3 linked regions of the Nothobranchius furzeri genome follow. The protein of the gene in region 3 interacts with the protein of the main gene of each other region in a pairwise test. Links are inferred from orthologs where the notes say so. Each region holds a gene or a part of one and is shown on either strand. Other genes may lie near its edges. The genes, in order: zc3h10, gtf2a1 and nfyal.

What was found.
Region 1: the proteins of nfyal (region 3) and zc3h10 interact in binary tests that used the Homo sapiens proteins (3 or more experiments, as listed by UniProt). The two-hybrid records come from large-scale screens. The link is inferred for Nothobranchius furzeri from reciprocal best matches to the Homo sapiens genes NFYA and ZC3H10.
Region 2: the proteins of nfyal (region 3) and gtf2a1 interact in binary tests that used the Homo sapiens proteins (3 or more experiments, as listed by UniProt). The two-hybrid records come from large-scale screens. The link is inferred for Nothobranchius furzeri from reciprocal best matches to the Homo sapiens genes NFYA and GTF2A1.

Annotation. Positions count from the first base shown.
Region 1 is NC_091743.1:49,724,498-49,731,976, forward strand, and holds the start of zc3h10 (zinc finger CCCH domain-containing protein 10), read right to left. Parts: upstream 4,383-7,479; 5' UTR 4,236-4,382; exon of another isoform or gene 4,090-4,235; intron 3,195-4,089; 5' UTR 3,047-3,194; coding exon 1,916-3,046; intron 430-1,915; coding exon 1-429. Other genes in the region: si:dkey-28n18.9 (sorting nexin-5), read left to right, coding at 6,213-6,218, 6,333-6,440, 6,551-6,658, 7,085-7,145, 7,230-7,354. UniProt on the Homo sapiens protein: Specific regulator of miRNA biogenesis. Binds, via the C3H1-type zinc finger domains, to the binding motif 5'-GCAGCGC-3' on microRNA pri-MIR143 and negatively regulates the processing to mature microRNA.
Region 2 is NC_091742.1:19,644,011-19,650,720, forward strand, and holds part of gtf2a1 (transcription initiation factor IIA subunit 1), read left to right. Parts: intron 1-271; coding exon 272-373; intron 374-784; coding exon 785-959; intron 960-1,040; coding exon 1,041-1,105; intron 1,106-2,732; coding exon 2,733-2,808; intron 2,809-2,903; coding exon 2,904-3,028; intron 3,029-4,255; coding exon 4,256-4,360; intron 4,361-4,447; coding exon 4,448-4,753; intron 4,754-6,710. UniProt on the Homo sapiens protein: TFIIA is a component of the transcription machinery of RNA polymerase II and plays an important role in transcriptional activation. TFIIA in a complex with TBP mediates transcriptional activity.
Region 3 is NC_091755.1:28,373,071-28,379,061, forward strand, and holds part of nfyal (nuclear transcription factor Y, alpha, like), read right to left. Parts: intron 3,621-5,991; coding exon 3,549-3,620; intron 2,932-3,548; coding exon 2,785-2,931; intron 2,706-2,784; coding exon 2,574-2,705; intron 2,223-2,573; coding exon 2,120-2,222; intron 2,030-2,119; coding exon 1,860-2,029; intron 558-1,859; coding exon 384-557; intron 309-383; coding exon 198-308; intron 94-197; coding exon 31-93; 3' UTR 1-30. UniProt on the Homo sapiens protein: Component of the sequence-specific heterotrimeric transcription factor (NF-Y) which specifically recognizes a 5'-CCAAT-3' box motif found in the promoters of its target genes.

The sequences.
Region 1 (7,479 bases), on a different chromosome or scaffold from region 3:
GCCCGGCAGAGGCTGCGTCATGGACACGGCCACTGGTGCCACAGATACAGCCACCTGCGCCATAGAAACAGGCGGAGCCATTCCTTGTGCAATAGTCTGTGCAAGGGCTGCCGAGAGCGGGGTGATCTCTGGGTTGAGGTGTGGTGGAGGGGCTGTGGGCGGAGCTGCGTTAGATGGCGGAGCAGAAGGGGCACCGGTGGGAGCGACCAGGTCTTGCTGTGTGACAGGCCGAGGCTGCAGTCCTGCGCTGCTGAGGGTGGTGTGAGTCTGAGCAATGCTGTGGTTGTAGGAGCTTACTGCACCCACAGGAGGAGCCAGATTCTGCTCAGCAGGCGCAGGAGTGGAAGTCAGCGTCATCACCTTGGCTTGGCTCCGGAACTGAGCGTTCTGCTCCAGGAGAACCTCATTTGTAGCGAGGAGATTGGAAACCTGAGAAACACAAGAGACAAGGATTTAAAATAACAAGAGACACGTGTCTCATGTGTTGTCCTCCACCATACTCAAAGATGAAACAAATGTATTTTATAACAATTTGAATATCATCCAACTTTTTGTCATACAGTTACTTTTCATTTTTTCCCTCCAACTTTATGATGAATCTGTATTAAGCTGTAATATTGCCAACAGAGTCTGTACTCTTCTATGTAGAAAATACTGTTTTAGAAGAAGCTCCCAGTTAAAGCTTTCAGATCTGTGTATTTTCTAAATGTCTGAAAATAATATAGAAACTTTCTATTTTTATTTTAGCCAACTGTAAACTATTATTCCAGACGTGTAAAGGATTGTTTTGTAACAAACACAGTTTCTAACTTCAAACACTGACTGTGGCAGAGCTGATTAAATAAATCGGTAAGCTGACCTCTAAGCATGTTTTGTACCGTATTTTCCGGACTATAAGCCGCTACTTTTTTCCCCATGCTTTGAACCATGCGGCTTATAATGAGGTGCGGCTTTACTGAAGATTTTCCTTCTCCTGCCAGGGGGCGCTTTAGCAGAAAGTGAAACAGGTGGAAGTCAAAAGTTGAAATCGAAGAAAGTGCTCATTTTAATTTAGCACATGCAAGCAGCCGGCACGAAGAAGATTTTTTTTTTCAAATCCATACCCCCTCATCATGGTAACTATGAGTTCATATGATGCCGCATTTAATTTGAAGGCCATCAATCTGGCAGTAAAGGAGGGAAACAGTGCTGCCGCACGTAAGCTTGGCATGAATGAATCCACGGTTCAGCGCTGGAGACGGCAGCGGGAAGAACTCATTCAAGCCAGCTTCACCCGGGGATGATGACAGCAACACGGCCAGCGACACCGACATCGCCACAGAAAAGGTATGTGACGAAGCTCTTCTGAGGCTGTTCAACTCCGACACTGAAGAAGAGGACTTTAATGGCTTTAGTGCACAAGAGTAAGATGAGAGCGAATGACTTTTTCTGGTAGGCAAGTGTTTTATTTACTAACCAGGCATGCTTTGTGTGCAGTTTTTATTTTCTAATCATCCAGGGCTTATTAATGCTGTGTCAGCGCTGTTCTTTTCATCTAAACATGCAAATGACCGGTAATAACGTGTCAGTTCTGTTTTTATTTTATAACCATCCAGAAATATGAATGTTATCAGTGCTGTTTTCTTTTCTAAACTTGCAGGCACGTTCACCCGTGTTTAAAATCCATTTTGTTGAATTTAAACAACGAAAACCCTCCGTGTAGCGTCTTTCTGTCTAATTATCTTATGTTATGGCCGTACATGCGCTGTGCACCGTAGACCTGCATGTGGCTGCTGCGCCGTGGCTTGTGCGGCGTGTGTGTAGAAAACCTTTTTTTTTTGTTGTTGGTGCGGCTTATATTGAGGTGCACTCTATAGTCCGGAAATTACGGCATATTAAAAACCTTTGTTAATCTCTAATAATTTAGTTTTTTAACCTGCTTCTTCAGCTCTTCCACTCTTTTCCTCAGCAGGGAGTTCTCCTCCTCGAGGAATCTGTACTCCAGAGGACGAGGTTGAAGGGTGGCTTGAACTCCCAACTCGTAGTGTCCCCCTCCGCTCCCGTCTGTCAGACGTAGGCTCTCTAGCCGTCGCCTCTTCAGCTGGAGAGCAGTATGGTCTATAGTAGCCTCCAGAGAACCAGCATCAAACAGCCCACTCTCCAGCAGGGGGTCGTACACAGAGCACATGCTCCTCTCATAGCGTCTCTGTCCTGAAGACCCGATGGACAGACAACCACTCATTCCACCTCCACCTATCCCCCCAACCCCTGAAAAGCCTGGATCCCTGCACCCACCCAGGCTGGTGCAGCCAGTCCCCACCATGTTACTTCCACCTCCCACAAGTCCTTGAATCCCTCCGCAAGTTCCTCCCCCTCCTATTCCTCCAACAGCATTCACGATCCCACTCGCGCCCTGCCCCACAACACCCCCCACCCCAGCCCTCAGAGATTCATATTCATAGTCCTTTTGGACGTGACGAAATTTACATTTATTGCCTCTCAGGCACTCTCCCTTCAGGAAGTCCCTGCAGATGGGAACCTCCTCCCTGCTTAGGGGGAGATCCATCGGAGAGAGGCCCATTCGTGCAGCGACTTTTCCTCTTAGTCTGGGGGGCAACGCTCCAGTCTTCTTGTAATAGTCCTCATCTTCTTTAGTTCCGTGGACAAAGCGGCAGTTGGAGCGCATGCAGTCCTTGTTCTGATAGTCATGGCAGAAGATGAACTCGTTCTTTTGAACTCCCAAGTCCGGAACCTCGTTAAAGTCTGGGTGTCGGAAGCGGCAGCGCTTGCCTCTCTTGCACACATTACGTATGAAGTCCCTGCAGACTCCATCCAACGCTAGTCCTGCACCTTGCCCCCCTCCGCCGCCATTCCCAAATCCATTAGTGTTTCCGGGCGCACCCCCTCCACCCATGCCCCCTGAGCCAGAGACGTTTCCACCACTTCCAGAACCACCTCGGCCGTCCGCTGAGCCCCCTGCCAAACCTGATCCTGGTCCTCCTTCCTCACCCAGGCTACCACCACTCCCACCACCACCAGACAGGTAGGAACTGTCCCGGTCAGGCATGGCGCTTGACCCGGCTCAGAGAGAAATCAGGACTCATGTGTATGTGAAGGGTGCCCGATCAATCCTGGTAAACATGCACATACACAGGTCAGGGTGTCACCAACGTTTTTAAGTTATCCCAGAGGAATGAAAAGTAAATGACGCAGAACTGCAAGACAAAAATCCCACAGAAACTCAATTAAACTTGTGTCCATAGACCTTTGAGGTTCATAAGAGAAATACAAAAAAATAAAAACATCTAAGTAAGTTAAATAACTCAGTTGGTAAAACAAATATTTTAAATCAAAATATAATATTTAATTCAGAAATAAAAGTTAAAAAAATAACCGAAATTCAAACATTGCCTGTGGGCTTGTTCCAGCAGAAATCTGAAACCTAACGGCTCCGCATCCTAATCTGTGGCTGCAGCAGTTTGGATCAAGGGTGAATTTTAAACAGAGTTGAGTTCCTTTCAACATGTTTAGAAGTCAAATATAACAAATGTTGTAAAAGTAAACCCCAAAATAAGTTTAGCTAACTGCATACACAACTAAGAAAGATCTAGGTGACTTGAATTTGTACATAATAAGTAGCACCACTGTTGCTTTAGGACGGAGAGAAACAACTCAGGTCCCCCAAGGCACTTCCCAGCATGTTTTAGTTGTTTCTCTGCTCCCAAAACATGTTTCAACGGTTGAATCACCAGTTCAGCAGGTCATCAAGCTTTGCAAAACCCAATTATTCTTCCACTGATTAAAATCGGGCGTATTGTGACAGAGAAACCTCTAAACACACACACACACACACACACACACACACACACACACACACACACACACACACACACACACACACACACACACTTATGAGAAACATCTCAACAGACGTGTCTCTGCGTCAACACACCTGTTCTTAATCAGCGGGTGGTTAGCAGGCTTCAGCAGGGTTTGAGCAACCACTGGATCAGGTGATCCGAAGCAGGGAAACCACTAAAACTTCCCGGATGGGAGCTCTCGTGGACCAGAGTTGCCTACTCCTGCTTAAGAAGAACTAATTAAACCTGAAGGAAACCGCCCAATTCACAACGCAGACGACTTCATTAGGTCATGAGGTCAGTTTGAAATGGTGTGACGACCTCGCTAATGCTGCACGGCTAAATGCTAACAAGCAACCTGGAAAAAGCAAACATACAGCTTTTAAAACTTCTCACCAGATCCGGTTTCAGGTACGAAAGGCCTTCTAGGGGAACCAATAAACGTCAACATTAACTCAGCTAACAACTGAATACGAGTTATGTTGGGGGGAGTGCGTTAAGGCTCGGTGCTGTTTACCACCTTTCTAGCTGCGTCCTTAACCACCAACGAAGAAGACTTGCTTTCTTCCTCGTCTACTTTTTTCTCGGTTTGATGTCTTCTGCCCTCTAGTGGTAAAGACAACGAGTACACCGTAAATCTGGGAAATCAATTCAAACTCCATTAAAAAAAGGTGTTTATAGAATTTAGCAGCTACTCAGACCAGGTCTTATAAACATGGAGAATTTTGACGTGATTTCTGTCTGTTAGTGAGTTTAAAAAGCCTTTGAGTAGAAACCAGCTGTCAAACAGCATGGGAACAGCTGTTCGCTTCTAGAAAACTTCCTTTGTGTAGTTCTTTGTTCCTAAAGCTTAAAGAATTCCTGTGGATACCAGCCTGTGTGGTCCTGCTGCTGAGGTTCACCCTCCTTTGACATAGTTAGAGCTTAGTTAAACAAACTTAATTCAACCGTTATATTAATTTATTAGCATGCAAACACAACTTACTTTGGTTAAGTGGACTAAAGGAAAACAATTACAGTTTTTCTCTATTGGTTTGGCTCTTTTCTTGAAACAGAAATTACATTCTAAAAATAACATGGACAAACTTCCAAACCTCTTGGCAAATGTTCACAACAGAATTTCTCATTCATTTTATCAAATTGCAAATGCCTTAGTACATGTCTCAATTGTCTCAGTGCTTCTTTGCAAATGATTAAGTACATGTAGCCTACTGTTATGCAGTTAGCCCACATTTAGCACATTTTCCAAATGAATAGATCTAAACTGATTAGTTGATTCTCAGTCCAATGATCATTCTCTCCAAAACATGTCAGCATGCACAACTGTCTGTTCAATTGTCAGAATTGGTCAAGAACATAATACCATGAATACCATATATGGATTTCTTTGAATATTTGATACATTGATGACAGTCATTGACAGTCAGGTGATACTAGACTAACGAACAGGAAGCGTCACACAGGTGATTTCCATGATCGTGTGCTGCCATTTTTTGGCGATGGTGTGGCCACTCACATCTCCAGTCTTGGTCCATACAACACACACAAGCTCCTCATCTTCTCGGATCGCCTTTATTCTAATTTTATCCCAGAAAATGAGAGAGGTCTCATAGGGCCTCACCTACCCATTTATGTTATTGTGTGGGACAATGCCAATTCCCACCTTAGCCCACTCATTGGGGGCTGGTTTGCAACACATCCAAGGATGGCCATGGAGTTCCAACCACCTTACTCTCCTTTCCTCAATCCGATAGAGGAGTTTTTTTTTTCATCTCTGAGGTGGAGAGTGTGTGAGCATCATGCTCAGGATCAGCCGCCCCTACTCCATGCTATGGACGCAGCGTGTGACGACATTACAGGAGATCAATGCAGGGGATGGTTGCGGCATGCACGCCGTTTCTTCCCTCGTTGCATCACAAGAGAAAGTATCTGCTGTGATGTGGACGAGAATCTGTGGCCAGATGGACAACAGCGTGTAAATTTCCATTTTTATGGGAGAGTAAAGCTTTTCATTCCCGTTGTGCCTCGGGTCAATGTGTCGAGTTTAACTGAGATATGACCTTGAGGAGCTTTTCCCTTTATGGGATGTCTTGTATATTCAGCTGACCAGCCCGGAGCGTTACGGCTCTGTTGTGGGAGTGTTCACAGTCACACGGTAACAGAACATTTACTCATCCACAGTGTTTCCCTGCACCAGCACTTTACAGTTCTACTCATCTCACGTCTCTCGGGGCCGTTGTGCACTTTGACCCAGAGGACATCCTGTTCCTCTTCAGCAGCTGTAGCCCGAGCAGTTGGAAAACTTCTCCCAAGCTTGGCAGTTCTACTGAGATAAAAGAAGACAGAGGGGTTTTACAGAGCCCGACTCAAACGATGATGGTAAGTAGTTTCTAAAATCCTGAGAGGGTCATGTGACGAACCCAGACTCTGACGGCAGAAGAAGGAGATTAATTTCTTGCCTTTAATCTAAATTCACTTTTCTTCTCCTGGCAGGAAGAGGTAAAGGACGTGTCTGCAGGGAGCGTCCATGGGGACACCATCAAAGTTACGGAGGTCCTGCAAGACGGGGACACTCTTACCTTCATAATCGTGTCTCAAAAGGTGTAAAAATACTTGATTTGAAAACTCCAAAGGTTTCTTAGCTAGCTGTAATTCATGTATTTAAATGATAATAATCCTGAAATTAAATCCTAATCTGTGGTCTAATCCAGCTCTCTGGGACAGGGGAGTACCACGTGGACCGCACCTATGATGACTTTGAGTGGCTCCAGCAGCACCTGTACACTCAGGAGGATGTGCCCGGGATTCAGGGAGTCATCGTGAGTGCTTTGTGTTTTCTTAATAATCTCTTTTTGTCTAATAAAGAGGTTAAATACCATGACTTTGTGGATTTTCCTGCTTTTTTGGGGGGATAATTTGTGTTTTGTCATCATTTTTTAAACTTCCTGCTGTAGCCGTGAACATAAGAAAACACACCAGGTGCTAAGAAAAGTGAAATAATTAATCAGTCGTTTAATTCTCACATTCTCAGCACTTCCTCACTTCCTGCTGTTCTTTAAACAGGAAAATGACCTTTTTCCTGGAAGCTGATGCAGAAAATCAAGTGGACATTTTTACTTTAGTTGTTGATTTTTATGATCTGCAACGCTTCCTCCCACGTTAGCATGTGCAGCCTGGCTTTCTTTATTGTCAGAGTAACGTTGGTGTGGGGAAGAGAAACGGTGCTCTCTTTGTTTGTTTTTAAGTTTCCTCCTCTTCCAGTAAGGCCTCAGGTGAACGCATCTGCCAAAGTTATGAAACAGCTGGGTGAGCAGACATGAACACGAAATAAAACGACTCTTTAAAATAGATCTCACTAAATAAAATCTGTCCTGGATGTTTTCCTTTCAGGCTTCCTGGCTTTAGGAGAGTGGCAGCCCTACTGCAGGGCGCTGGAAACATTTCTGCAGCAGGTTGTTGCACACCGCCTACTCAGCAAAAATCCGGCTTTGGAGCTCTTCCTGACTAGTGCAGATGTAAGTTCGACACACACACACACACACACACACACACACACACACACACACACACACACACACACACACACACACACACACACACACACACACTTTTGTGAAATAAAACTGGGTTTTGGTCGTCG
Region 2 (6,710 bases), on a different chromosome or scaffold from region 3:
TCTTTGTATAAAGGTGACAAGCAGGGTTACTTCAGGGGGCCTGTCAAATTTCAGCAGGGGCCATTCCCCCGTGGCCCCACCCCTTGAACCATCAAGCATTTATGCTGACCTGACAGGATTACAGGGTCTAATAAAGATGTTTAGTGGCTGGTAGTGAAGTTACACCAACAAAAAACACCACGATCGTGATTAGTTATCCCAAATTAATAATTGTGTTAATAAATAATGTTAATATCTGAACAAAAAATTTTTTTCTCTTATGTCATCCTAGCCTAAATTGTACCGGTCTGTGATTGAAGATGTCATGAGCGAGGTACGGGAGCTGTTCCTGGATGAAGGAGTGGACGAGCAGGTTCTCCACGAGCTGAAAACGGTACGTTTTCTGCAGGAGATGGTTTCCAGATGCAACAGGGGCAGCCATCATTAATCAAAAGGCAAACTAATGGCTTTAATGGATGGAAAACGCAGGTCTCTGCCTCTAACTTTCATAAGTGGGAGGTACTCTGAGACTGAGCAGAAGGAGCTGCAGTGATTAGATTTGATCTGTTCTCCAGAGGACATTTAGTCTACCAGACCAGGAGCTATAAACAGTTTTTTGACCCCAACATGGTCCTCTGCTCTTTCTTTACCACATAACATTAGTTGTTAGTTGGTGATTTTAGGTTATTTATCTTTTAAAATCTAGCCTGAGAAGTACATTTTGTCCACACAGCATCTCTAACATGCGGTTAAATAATCTCATAAGCAGTCCTGTAACCCAAATCTTCTCCATCTGCTGGCACAGCTATGGGAGAATAAACTGCTCCAGTCCAAGGCAGTGGAGGGCTTCCACTCTGATGAGCAGGCAGCCCTGCAGGCCTCCCAGCAGCAGCAGCAGCAGCACATCCAGCATGTTCAGCAGGTGACTCAGCCAGCACAAACCCAACAAGTCATCCTGCCCCCCCAGCAGCAGCAGCAAGGTGCGTTCAAAAGCTGATGTACAGCAGCAAAAACTATCCGTGACACACATTTGATTAGGAGGGTTTTAATTTTCTCTGCAGCGCCGCAGCAGCAAGTCATTGTTCGGGATCCTAAGCTTCTTCAGCACATGAGTGCAACAGGGATGGTGAGTGCATCGTGTGCTCATTTTTGAGGACAGTGCTAGTTGGGATTTGGTGTTCATCAGAGAAAAGTTTTTCTTATTCTAATTATTCAATAAAAACTGTATCCACAAATCCACAAAACACATGTAGACTGGTTGGGCAAGTTCCCACGCACCCTCCAGGATCCCCCTAAGGGTATAGAGCTGGTCCAGTGTTCCACGGCCGGGACGAAAACCACATTGCTCCTCCTGAATCTGAGGTTCAGCAATCCGACGGACCCTCCTCTCCAGAACCCCTGAATAGACCTTACCAGGAAGGCTCAGGAGTGTGATCCCCCTGTAGATGGAACACACCCTGCGGTCCCCCTTTTTAAATAAGGGGACCACCACCAGTCCAGTGGGACTGTCCCCGATGCCCACGCGATATTGCAGAGCCGCGTCAGCCAACACAGCCCCACAACATCCAGAGCCTTAAGGAACTCCGGGCGGATCTCATCCACCCCTGGAGCCTTGCCACCGAGGAGCTTTTTAACCACCTCAGTGACCTCAGCACCAGAGATTTGAGAGGCCAACCCAAAGTCCCCAGACTCTGCTTCCTCACTGGAAGACGTGTCGGTGGGATTGAGGAGGTCTTCGAAGTATTCTGCCCACCGATCCACAACATCCTGAGTAGAGGTCAGCAGCACACCGTCCCCACTATAGATAGTGTTGGTAGCGCACTGCTCCCCCCACCCCCACCCCGAGGCGCTGGATGGTGGACCAGAATCTTTATTTTAATTTTGATTATATTTCATTTCTAAGGTTTGGATGTCTGTGAACATTACAGAATATTCAGATTGGTGTAAAGAACATATTAATAATAACAGGTCATGATCTAAAGCTGGTCTGAGGTCTAAAACTCTGCCCTGGGCCTAAAGCCCTGCAGATGTATTTAGTTTCTATAAACAACAACAATTAAATAACCGCAGCTGGATTCTACTTTGTTCCTTAAATTGAGTCACGTAGTTTTGCAAGTTCTGCAGCTCACACGTTCAACAGGGAGCTCTGCCAGCTGATTGGTTCTTTTGGTACCTAGTGCAGTTCTGGTGCTGAGCAGCATGCATGCATCAGTGGATTCATAATGGATTAAGAAAGGACAGGAAAACATAGTTAACTCAAATATATCATTATAATGAACACGTATAGATACTTTATCATACATACCTACCAGCCTGTAACTCTACCTTTACCCCCCAAAATGCACCAGACTGATGTGTTTAAATACAAAATGTCCAATAATTTTTTTCTAGGGGGCATGCCCCCGATACCCCTAGAGTACTTTAATACTTATCATCTTTTTTACCTCAGAGAAATCTCAACACCCGCACTTTTAAACACTGTACGTGAACGCGTTATTCCAAAGTTTTCAGAAACAATAACGCTGATCTTAAAACCAATCAAAACCCGAATAGTGGCTACATGTAAACAATGTGATTATTATATAATAATAATTATTATATCAATAAACTAATCATTTAAATGTATTCTAGAAAAGCATGTGACCCTCACAGTGTCTGCTGGCACAGACAAATCTAGTTGAAGACCCTGGTCTAGACCTCTAGAAGCCTGTTTTGTAGAGCTGATGTGTGTATATTCTGTTTTCCTCCACTAGAGCGCAGCAGCCACTGCAGCAACTCTGGCTTTACCTACAGGTGTCACTCCATACCAGCAGATCATCACTCAGCAGGGTAACACCACCATGCCCTCGTGCTGCACTCAACTCAACTGGTGTTTCAGCCGTTTCACTGCTCTGATGTTTCTCCTTCACCTTTCGCTGACTCAGGTCAGATCCTGCAGGTGGTGCGCGCTCCCAATGGGGCTCAGTACATCATTCAGCAGTCCCAACAGCCCATCGTGCTGCAGCAGCCTATGCAGTCTGGTGGTGTGCAGGCACCGGTCATACAGCAGGTACCGCCATTTAACTAGTTGAACTGTATTATAGAACAAATCAGTTTATGGAAGTTGTTAGAATTTGGTTTTGATTAAAAGTAGCGGTGCAGCCGCTCCAGCAACTCACGGCTCGGATCATATCACGGCTTCGAGTCACGGATCGGGTCATTTCTGGGATCAGCAGACTGAAAAAAAAAAAGACAAATAACTTTGCTGTCTTTATTTTGCAGAACACTTAATGAGCATTCAGCAGAAAAAGCTGCACTAAGTACAAACATTCATCTCAAGACATTTATGTTTATGAATTTAGCAGATGCTTTTGTCCAAAGCGACTTACAGGTGATAAGGAAGCTAGCAGGTTGCCCTTGAGGCTAACAACAAACACTAATCAGTCAATCCTAGGTGGCAGTGAGGCAGCATAAGGTGCTGATACATTTACCCGGGCATGAAAACCCCTCACCTTTTGGCAAACTTTGCTGTTTAAAATCTCAAATGAGTCCTTGCCGATCTGATGAGAAAATATTTGGGGTGGGGTGGGGCCAGCTTTTACATATTAACCAGTTCCAACATTCGAGAGGATTTTTAAGACCTCCCCAACACCACCGACAGTACAATAAATAAATAAATTAGTCAGAACCGGCGCAACCCGCACAAACGCACCTCGTCTGGAGGTCCCCTGTGTAGACCCGCAGACGGCTCTTTAAGGGGCATGAATGTTGCCAACCTACACACATCTTTTCGTTTTTGTATTATCAAATTTATTGACGTGGGAAAAGTCTGGATAAGAGTCAGAAATTTTGATCACGATAAATTTTCCATTTATTGTCCAGCCCTGATATTTAGGGCCGTCACGGTAACCGCAAAAATGAAATATCGCAATATGAAGAAACCCACCGCGCTGCATCATGGGCCACCGCGATTACTGAACGTGATTCAACTCAATGATGCATGTAGAGAAGGATGGCTGCACTGGTATCAAAACGAAACGTTACTTCGCTGCTTTGGGAGCACTTTGGTTTTCAGTACGTCAGCTGCTGCGCAGCCAGAGTCCTTGGTCGAGACAGAGCTGCCACCAACGGCAAATAAATAAATAAACACTCGGAGACCTGCTGAAGTCCCGGACAAGCACTGCTTCTGCAACCGTCCCGAAGAGAGTTTGAGCCGAGCTGGAGCTCACTCGCTACCTGCAGGAGGAATGCATCCACCCTAAAGAAACCCCCCTGACATTAATTAATTTGTGTTTAGGTTCTGGCTCCTCTTCAGGGAGGTCTGCCTCAGCAAACGGGAGTCATCATCCAGCCACAGCAGATCGTCTTGGCTCAAGGAAACAAGGTCCAAGACAATGCACAGGTCAGAACATGGCCCCTTGTAAATCTCCTGTTCTGTTTCTAGCCTCATCAACCAACTCTGTCCCTTCTGGGGGTTATTTCCCTTCAGGTGATGCAGGCGGCAGCCATGGTGCCTCAGCCCGGTCAGGCAGCAGGAGCAGCACCAGGAGGAGCAGCAGGAGGAGCAGCGACTCAGGTCCAGCAGGCCCATGCTGCAGCTGCACCACAGGCCCCACTGCAGCCTCAGGCCCAGCAGCAGGCTCAGCTGCAGGCACAGCAGCCTCCCATGATGCTCCAGGTGGACGGGGCCGGGGACACGTCCTCGGAGGAGGACGAAGACGAGGAGGAGGAGTACGATGACGATGATGACGAGGAGAAGGATAAGGATGGTGGAGAAGACGGGCAGGTGGAGGAGGTAACGGATGTGTCATCGTCTTCCTCCGCTTGTACGGGTCGTGGGGGCAGCATCCCAACTAGGGAGCTCCAGACCGTCCTCTCCCCGGCCACCTCCACCAGCTCCTCCAGCAGACCCCAAGGCGTTCCCGGACCAGATTGGAGATGTAACCTCTCCAACATGTCCTGGTTCTACTCCGAGTCCCTCCCGAATGTCCGAGCTCCTCACCCTATCTCTAAGGCTGAGCCCGGCCACCCTACGGAGGAAACTCATTTCGGCCGCTTGTATCCGCATTCTCGTTCTTTCGGTCATTACCCAAAGCTCAGGACCATAGGTGAGGATTGAGACGTAGATAGACCGGTAAATCGAGAGCCTGGCTTTCTGGCTCAGCTCCCTCTTCCCCACGACAGATCGGCTCAGCGTCCGCATCACTGCAGACACCGAACCCATCCGCTTGTCGATCCCCCGATCCCTCCTTCCCTCACTCGTGAACAAGACCCCGAGATACTTAAACTCCTCCACTTGAGGTAGAACCTCTCTCCCGACCCGGAGTTGGCAAGCCACCCTTTCCCGGTCGAGAACCATGGTCTCAGATTTGGAGGTGCTGATCCTCATCCCAGCCGCTTCACACTCTGCCACGAACCTACCCAGCAAGAGCTGAAGGTCAGAGCTGGATGAAGCTAGGAGGACCACATAATCCGCAAAAAGCGGAGACGAGATTCTCCTGCCACCAAACTCGACACACTCCACACCATGGCTGCGCCTAGAAATTCTGTCCATAAAGGTAATGAACAGAACCGGTGACAAAGGGCAGCCCTGGCGGAGTCCAACCCTCACTGGGAACAGGTCCGACTTACTACCGGCTATGCGGACTAAACTCAAACTCCTCTGGTAAAGGGACTGAATGGCCCTTAACAGAAAGCCACCCACCGGTCATAAGCCTTCTCCAAATCCACAAAACACATGGATTGGTTGGGCAAACTCCCATGCCCCCTCCATCATTCTTGCAAGGGTATAGAGCTGGTCCACAGTTCCACGGCCAGGACGGAAACCACATTGCTCCTCCTCAATCTGAGATTCAACTTTCGATCAGACCCTCCTCTCCAGTATCTTGGAGTAGACCTTTCCAGGGAGGCTAAGGAGTGTGATCCCCCTATAGTTGGAACACACCCTCAGGTCACCCTTCTTAAAGGTGGGGACCACCACCCCGGTCTGCCACTCCACAGGAACTGCCCCTGATGACCACGCAATGTTGCAGAGACGTGTCAACCATGACAGCCCTACAACATCCATAGCCTTGAGATACCCAGGACGAACCTCACCCGCCCCCGGGGCTCCGCCGCTGTGTAGTTGTTTGACAACCTCAGCAACTTCTGCCCCCGAGATTGGACAGTCCATCCCCAGTTCTCCCGGCTCTGGTTCCTCCTCGGAATGCATGTAGGTGGGATTGAGGAGCTCCTCAAAATATTCCTTCCACTGTCCAACTATAGCCCCAGTTGACGTCAGCAGCTCCCCATCCCCACTGTAAACAGTGAGAGCGAGTTGCTGCCTTCCTCTCCTGAGGCGCCGGTCAGTTTGCCAGAACCTCTTTGGAGCCGATCGATAGTCTTTCTCCATGGCCTCACCAAACTCCTCCCACACCCGAGATTTTGCCTCGGCAACTGCCACTGCTGCACCCCGCTTGGCTATCCGGTACCTGTCTGCTGCCTCCGGAGACCTACAGACCAGCCACACCCTGTAGGCCTCCTTCTTCAGCCTGACGGCTCCCCGAACCTCTGGTGTCCACCAGCGGGTTACGGGGGTTGCCACCACAACTGGCACCGGCTACCTTGCGACCACAGCTAGCAACAGCCGCCTCAACAATCGCAGAGTGGAACAAGGCCCACTCGGAGTCAATGTCCCCCACTGCTCTTGGGGCGCGGTCAAAGCTCTGCTGGAGGTGGGAGTTGAAGACCATCTTGACAGGTTCTTCTGCCAG
Region 3 (5,991 bases):
CAGACAGAAGTACTGATGTTGGTGACAGTGCTACGAGACTCTGATCATCTGGGCCACCGTCTCATCCGGCGCCGTCTGGCCTACGTCCTGCTGCTGCGTCATACGAAGGAAAAACACATAAATTGAGATCAAATTACCCACATATGTCAGTGAAAACTCAAATCTGTCATTTAAAGCCTTAAGGTGTAGACTCTTACTTGTGCCAAAGCCAACTCCATTTCTTCCTTGTCTTTAGGGGAGAAGAACCGTCCTCCGTCTCCTCGCTTACGCTGCATAGCGTGACGATGGCGAGACTCATGTAGGTATTTCTGTAAGAAATAAATAAATGACCATGAATAAACGGTAAACCTTTCCTGAAGTACCTAATACTGGAGACAACGTACCCTTCTCTCTTTAGGGATCTTGCCCTCAGCCTCCAGCTTGGCCCGGGCCTGCCGTCGCTTCAGAATACGATGGTATTGTTTGGCGTTGACGTACAGAGGCTCCTCCTCCAGCATTTCGGCCCCTGGCAGTGGGATGCGCTGCATTGTGGGAACTCCGCCCCCTCCGGGCACCATCTGATAGGAGTAAAGCAAACAGGCACGGCCCACACAACTTAGAACCCCTGACAATTCAAATGAAATGCAGACAATTATAAGTGAACTATCTGAATCTGTATCATCAGATCTGCTGTTAAAACGTAACAATTACATTGTTTTGGACCCAGACAGATGTTTTTAACAAGAATTGAGTCGCTCTAAAGGCCGAGTCTGAGAGGTCCGTTACTGGGGAGCTGGATCATGTCTGATTCTAAAGGTTGGTTTATGCTTGACGTGTCCGCGAGGTCCGCACGGCTCCGCGCGGAAAAGTTGCGTCATTTTTCGTCATTTTAACAACCACGCCCCTCCACCGCGCCTCCGGACGGCCCAGAATTTCCGCAACGCGCACCTCGGAAAATTTCTAACCACGTGGACGGACGGACGCGGAAAAACATGGCGGACCAGCAAGAACTAGTATGGCAGAGGTTCATAAATACAGACATTTGTATGATTCAGCTCTCAGAGATCACCGTGATCAACATGTTGTTAATAATTCTTGGAGAGAAATAGCTCGCAATGTCGGAAAAGACGAGAATGCTGTTAAAAATGCTGAAATGCCGTGTTGTAAACAGTAATTTCTACTTCTACTATGGTGTAGTGTTGGATGTTTGCCGTAGAGCTCCATGCTGCCCCGTTCAGTTTGGGAGAATATTGGCTCACCGCAGAGACGAGCCGCACGAACCATAAAAGCTGCGAGTTGTGAAGCGCGTTCCATCCGCGAGCCGCATCACCGCGCGGAAAGTGAATGCGTCAAGCATAAACCAAGCTTCAGACCCACACCGCCCTTAAAGTTGGGCAGACCTCTATCAGAAAACACACAGCATCAATACACACACACACACATATATACACACACACACACACACACACACACATATATATATATATGTATATATATATATACATATATACATATATACATATATATACATATACATATATACATATATACATATACATTATATATATATATATACATATATAATTAAGATTTTGAATAATTAATTCAAATACTATTTACGCTTCCAACACACGTGTGGTGACTGGTGAATTAATGCATGCGTAGGAACAAATATGACAAAAATAACTGAAAACAACTGGGTGAATGGTTCTCATGTTCTGTGATTAGTGATTAGTACAAGGACACGTGGTGAAAAGGTGACTGTTGATCAAAGTAATTTTAAAAAAGAGCTACTCTTGTTGTGAGATCTTCCCCACTCTCCACACCTTGGTGCTAGTCTAGATTCAGAAAGAAAAGCAGAGTAAAAAGATGTTGGGTACCTCAGCACAGGGTCTTACCATGACCATTCCACCTGCATTCACCATGTTGCCAGAGACGGGCAGGGTGACGGTCACAGTGCCTTGGCCGCTGTTGGTAGTGTTGGTGTTGGCGCCCCCTGCCTGTACAATCTGGGCCCCTGCCAAACTGGCAGCAGGGATTGTGATCATTCCTGTGCACACGTAACACAACTCAAGTCAAAATCACGTCTCATTAGAATCTTTGTTTAATTTTAAATCTAATTAAAGAAAAAAAAAAGTACCCTGCTGCAGGACAGAACCATCTGCATTAACAGGCTGGTAGACGATGGTCTGTCCGTCTGCTGTCTGAGCGACCTGCTGACCCTGCACGCTGATCTGCTGGCCCTGATAAACAGGTAAACGTCAATATCAACGACTCTGCATCAACACACAAGTCATAAAAATATAAAAGTCTGTAAAAGGAACACAAAGAACATCGCTGTGCTCAGCACTAAATTCTCACAACAGAATTAAATCAACACATGCAAACTTCCTGCAGCACAACTCAATTCCCAACTTTCATCCAGATGTACTAGTAGTACTAGTTCTAATAGTAGTAGTGGTCAGCGCTTATGAGCTTTAAAACATGATTCAGCATTTGGGAAAAATCTCTAAACTGCTAAAAACATTCAAACAAGCAGTTTATGAGCTACATAATATTTTATATTATTGTAATTTGAGAAGGATAACAAATACCTGGTTCTGTCCAGCGGTGATGGCTGTTTGAGGCTGCTGGATGATGATCTGCTGGGGTTGACCCTGCTGACCCTGGAGCTGGAGAGTCTGACCACCTTGCAGCTGTATCTGACCAGGCTGCACCAGCTGAATCTACAAGATCCAACAGTTCCACCCTCATTGTGGCTTTCTTTACCAGTCATAATGAGACTGAATTATGTTACTTTTTTACCTGCTGCAGCCCTTGAGCTCCAGAAACAGGAACCTGCATTATGGTTTGACCCTGACCCCCCGACATGGCCTGCACCATGATGGGCTGTCCTGAAGAAGTGATGAGCTGCCCACCACTCACTTGTACCATCAGAGGCTGTCCCTGGACCTGCGAAGGGACACCGAGCTGTTACAGCATCTCTAAGACTTTACCTCCAAATAACGTACACGTGACTGGCAAAGCAGCATGCAAGTCAAACAACAAACGCCAAGGATGCCATTTAATCATCCGGTACATTCCACCTATTTTAAAAGTTTAGGCTGCGATATGTGAGATGATCCAACTTGATCTACCGCTCTAACCGCACTGTGAAAGCAGATGTATCACACAGAAAAATGACGGTGCAAAAAAAATAATAAAAAAAGCATTATGTAAGATTTAGCTAAAGGATGCAACGTGCCTGCAGCTGCAGCGTTTCCATCCTTCAGTACAGACTCACATCATGCACACTTCCAGCAGTTAATGTTTGCATCAAAGAAGAAGTTCAGACTTTCTGAACTTGCTTTTAAATGCCAGAGTAAAAAAAACCAACTCAGAAATGACAGCACGAGCATTAGCCGGAACACACGCTGCTGAGGAACATGCAGTACAGGTGGTTGCAGGGGAACGCTCAAAGGGAGGTGATGAACCAGACAGCACTGATGGGTCATGGAAACAGCCCTGGAGGCAGCATGCAGACGGGAAGCTAGCTTAACGTCTGTGGGACAGGGTGGAGATGACACCACTACCTGGAGTGTCTGCACCTGCTGGCCTGGAGCCTCAGCTTGCAGCTGCACAGCCGTCACTGTGCCTTGTGTCTGCAGGCAAGGCAGGACAACACAGTCTCAGACAGATACAGTTAAGCCCAAAATTGTTCATACCCTTGCATGTTCCTTTATTGTTTAAAGGAAAATGTCTGCTCTGGAGGGAAACATTAAAAACAAGAAAACCACTGTGAAGAATAGAGAAAAGAATGTACCTGAATCTAACCAAACTTATGCTGTTCCCAGCTAGGCCTCCATAAAAACATGATCACTGCTGTTAACCAGAACTTCTTTTGAGATTATTATGATGGGAAAAGTTCTCAAGAAGATCAGGACCAAGTTTTCGTTCAGCAAAGTGTCTGATTGTCCCAGAATGTGATGATTTCTTAAGTTTATACAAAGTCCAACCACAAGAACCAAGGCAATCCTGATGAATCTGAGCAATTCTAGTTCCTCCAGCAAAAGAGCAGCCATATTCTACAGAAAATGTTAGCCATGAGCTACGCTAGCAGTCACTTAAGCCTGAATCATGCTTCTCCGTCAGCTCCAACAGGGAGAGACACGCACGCATGGAGGTGTTTTGCCCTCATACTTCTCCGTCTCCTGGAGAGTGTTGCTAAGCAATTCCCCACCAGGACAACAGAGGGCGTAGCGCTGTTTTGTGGTATCCTGTCATGTATCGGTCCAAGATCGTGTGTTTATATTGTTTTTTTTTGTATATAAGAGACTTTTTAACATGGACAAATTTGTCTCTCCTCCTCCTCCACCTCTTCATGCGCTCGCCACCTCTAAACCCACGTTTCCTGTCATTTCCAGTCACATTCAGTTCCTGACTGGGACCAGGAAACGGGACCACATCAGTCCGGTTCTGGCCTCCCTGCAATGGCTTCCTGTTTGCTATCGTTCACACTTCAGACTCCTCGTCTTTGTTTTTAATTACTTCCAGGGTGGTGCTCCCCCCTATCTGGCCACACTCCTGAACAGACATTCCCCATCACACGCTCTGCGCTCCTCTGACCAAGGCCTGCTCGTTGTCCCTCGTTCTAGGTGTCGTACCCGTGGGGACCGGGCTTTCTCAGTCCAAGCACCGTCACTCTGGAACCAGTTGCCACCCTCAGTTAGGCTGTCCCCATCTCTGCCAGTCTTTAAGAATCACCTAAAAACACACCTCCTCTGCTTGGCGTTTCCTGAACATGTTTGAATTTGGCCCTCTTTTATGTTGATTTTATCTCACAGTTCTCATTGGTTCGCTTTTTCCCTTGTTTTACACATTTGTCTTCTACTAGAATGTTTCACATTTTTTTGTAAATTGTAATCTGTAATTTGAATTGCTTTTATTTTCTGATTTATTCACTTTATTGAACTTTGTACTGTACCATGTTCAGCGCCTTGGGCTTCCTGACAGGGTTGCGGAAGGCGCTTTATAAATAAAGCTTTGATTTGATTGATTGATTGATTGATTTCCGTCCACAAATAAAACGCTTGCTGCGTATCTTTTCACTCCTCCAGTCACGAGTTAAGATTCTTCCAGCCGTCTCATAAACTTGTACATTAAATTTCTCAGAAGTGCCTTAAATGTGCACACTCTCAAAGAAACAGACATCTGACTAGCACTGCCTCCCCTGGGAATTTTGAGGAGGATTCTCATTGCAACACTGTATGCCACCTGTAGCCGGTGCAAGCTAGACTTGTTATAGAATGACCACAGATGTGCAGTATATAGTGGTGTGCAGTATGCATTAAATAATGCCACTTTAACAGGTGTGGAACAACTGCTAAATTTCCATGCAACGGTGTTTGCTTGCACGTATAGCTTGCAGCACTGCCTGTAAATGTCATCATCGTCGCTCATATTGGCTGTGATAAAGTGTCCAAGATATTTTATCTTTTCACAGACCGCAAGACTGTTGCCGGACAACTCAAACACAGGAAAATTAAGCATTTTATCCTGGGTGGTTCTGTAGATGAGCACAGCACTATTGCTCGAGTTACATTTTAAATCATATTCCATTCCATACCCAGTACTATCATCTAGGAGTAGCAGCAGTCCTGCATTACTTGGGCTAAAAACTACGAGGTCATCCGCATACATAAGGCGATTAATCAAAACATCACCTATCAAACAACCTGCGTTACAAGCTCTCAGACGCCCAGATAACTCATCGACATATAAATTGAACAAAACAGGAGATAAATTTCCACCCTGCCTTATCCCATTGGACACTAAAGGGATTAGAAATACTCCCTTCCCATTTAACATGCATCTTCTGGTGGGCATAGCAATAGGCAAGCACTATCACAACACCTCCAGGCACACCCCTTTGCTTTAATTTAGTAAAAAGCTTTTTATGATTCACTCGATCACATGCTTTGGAGACATCAATAAAACTCATGAGAATAGTAGAATTTTTTTGACCTAAATAGA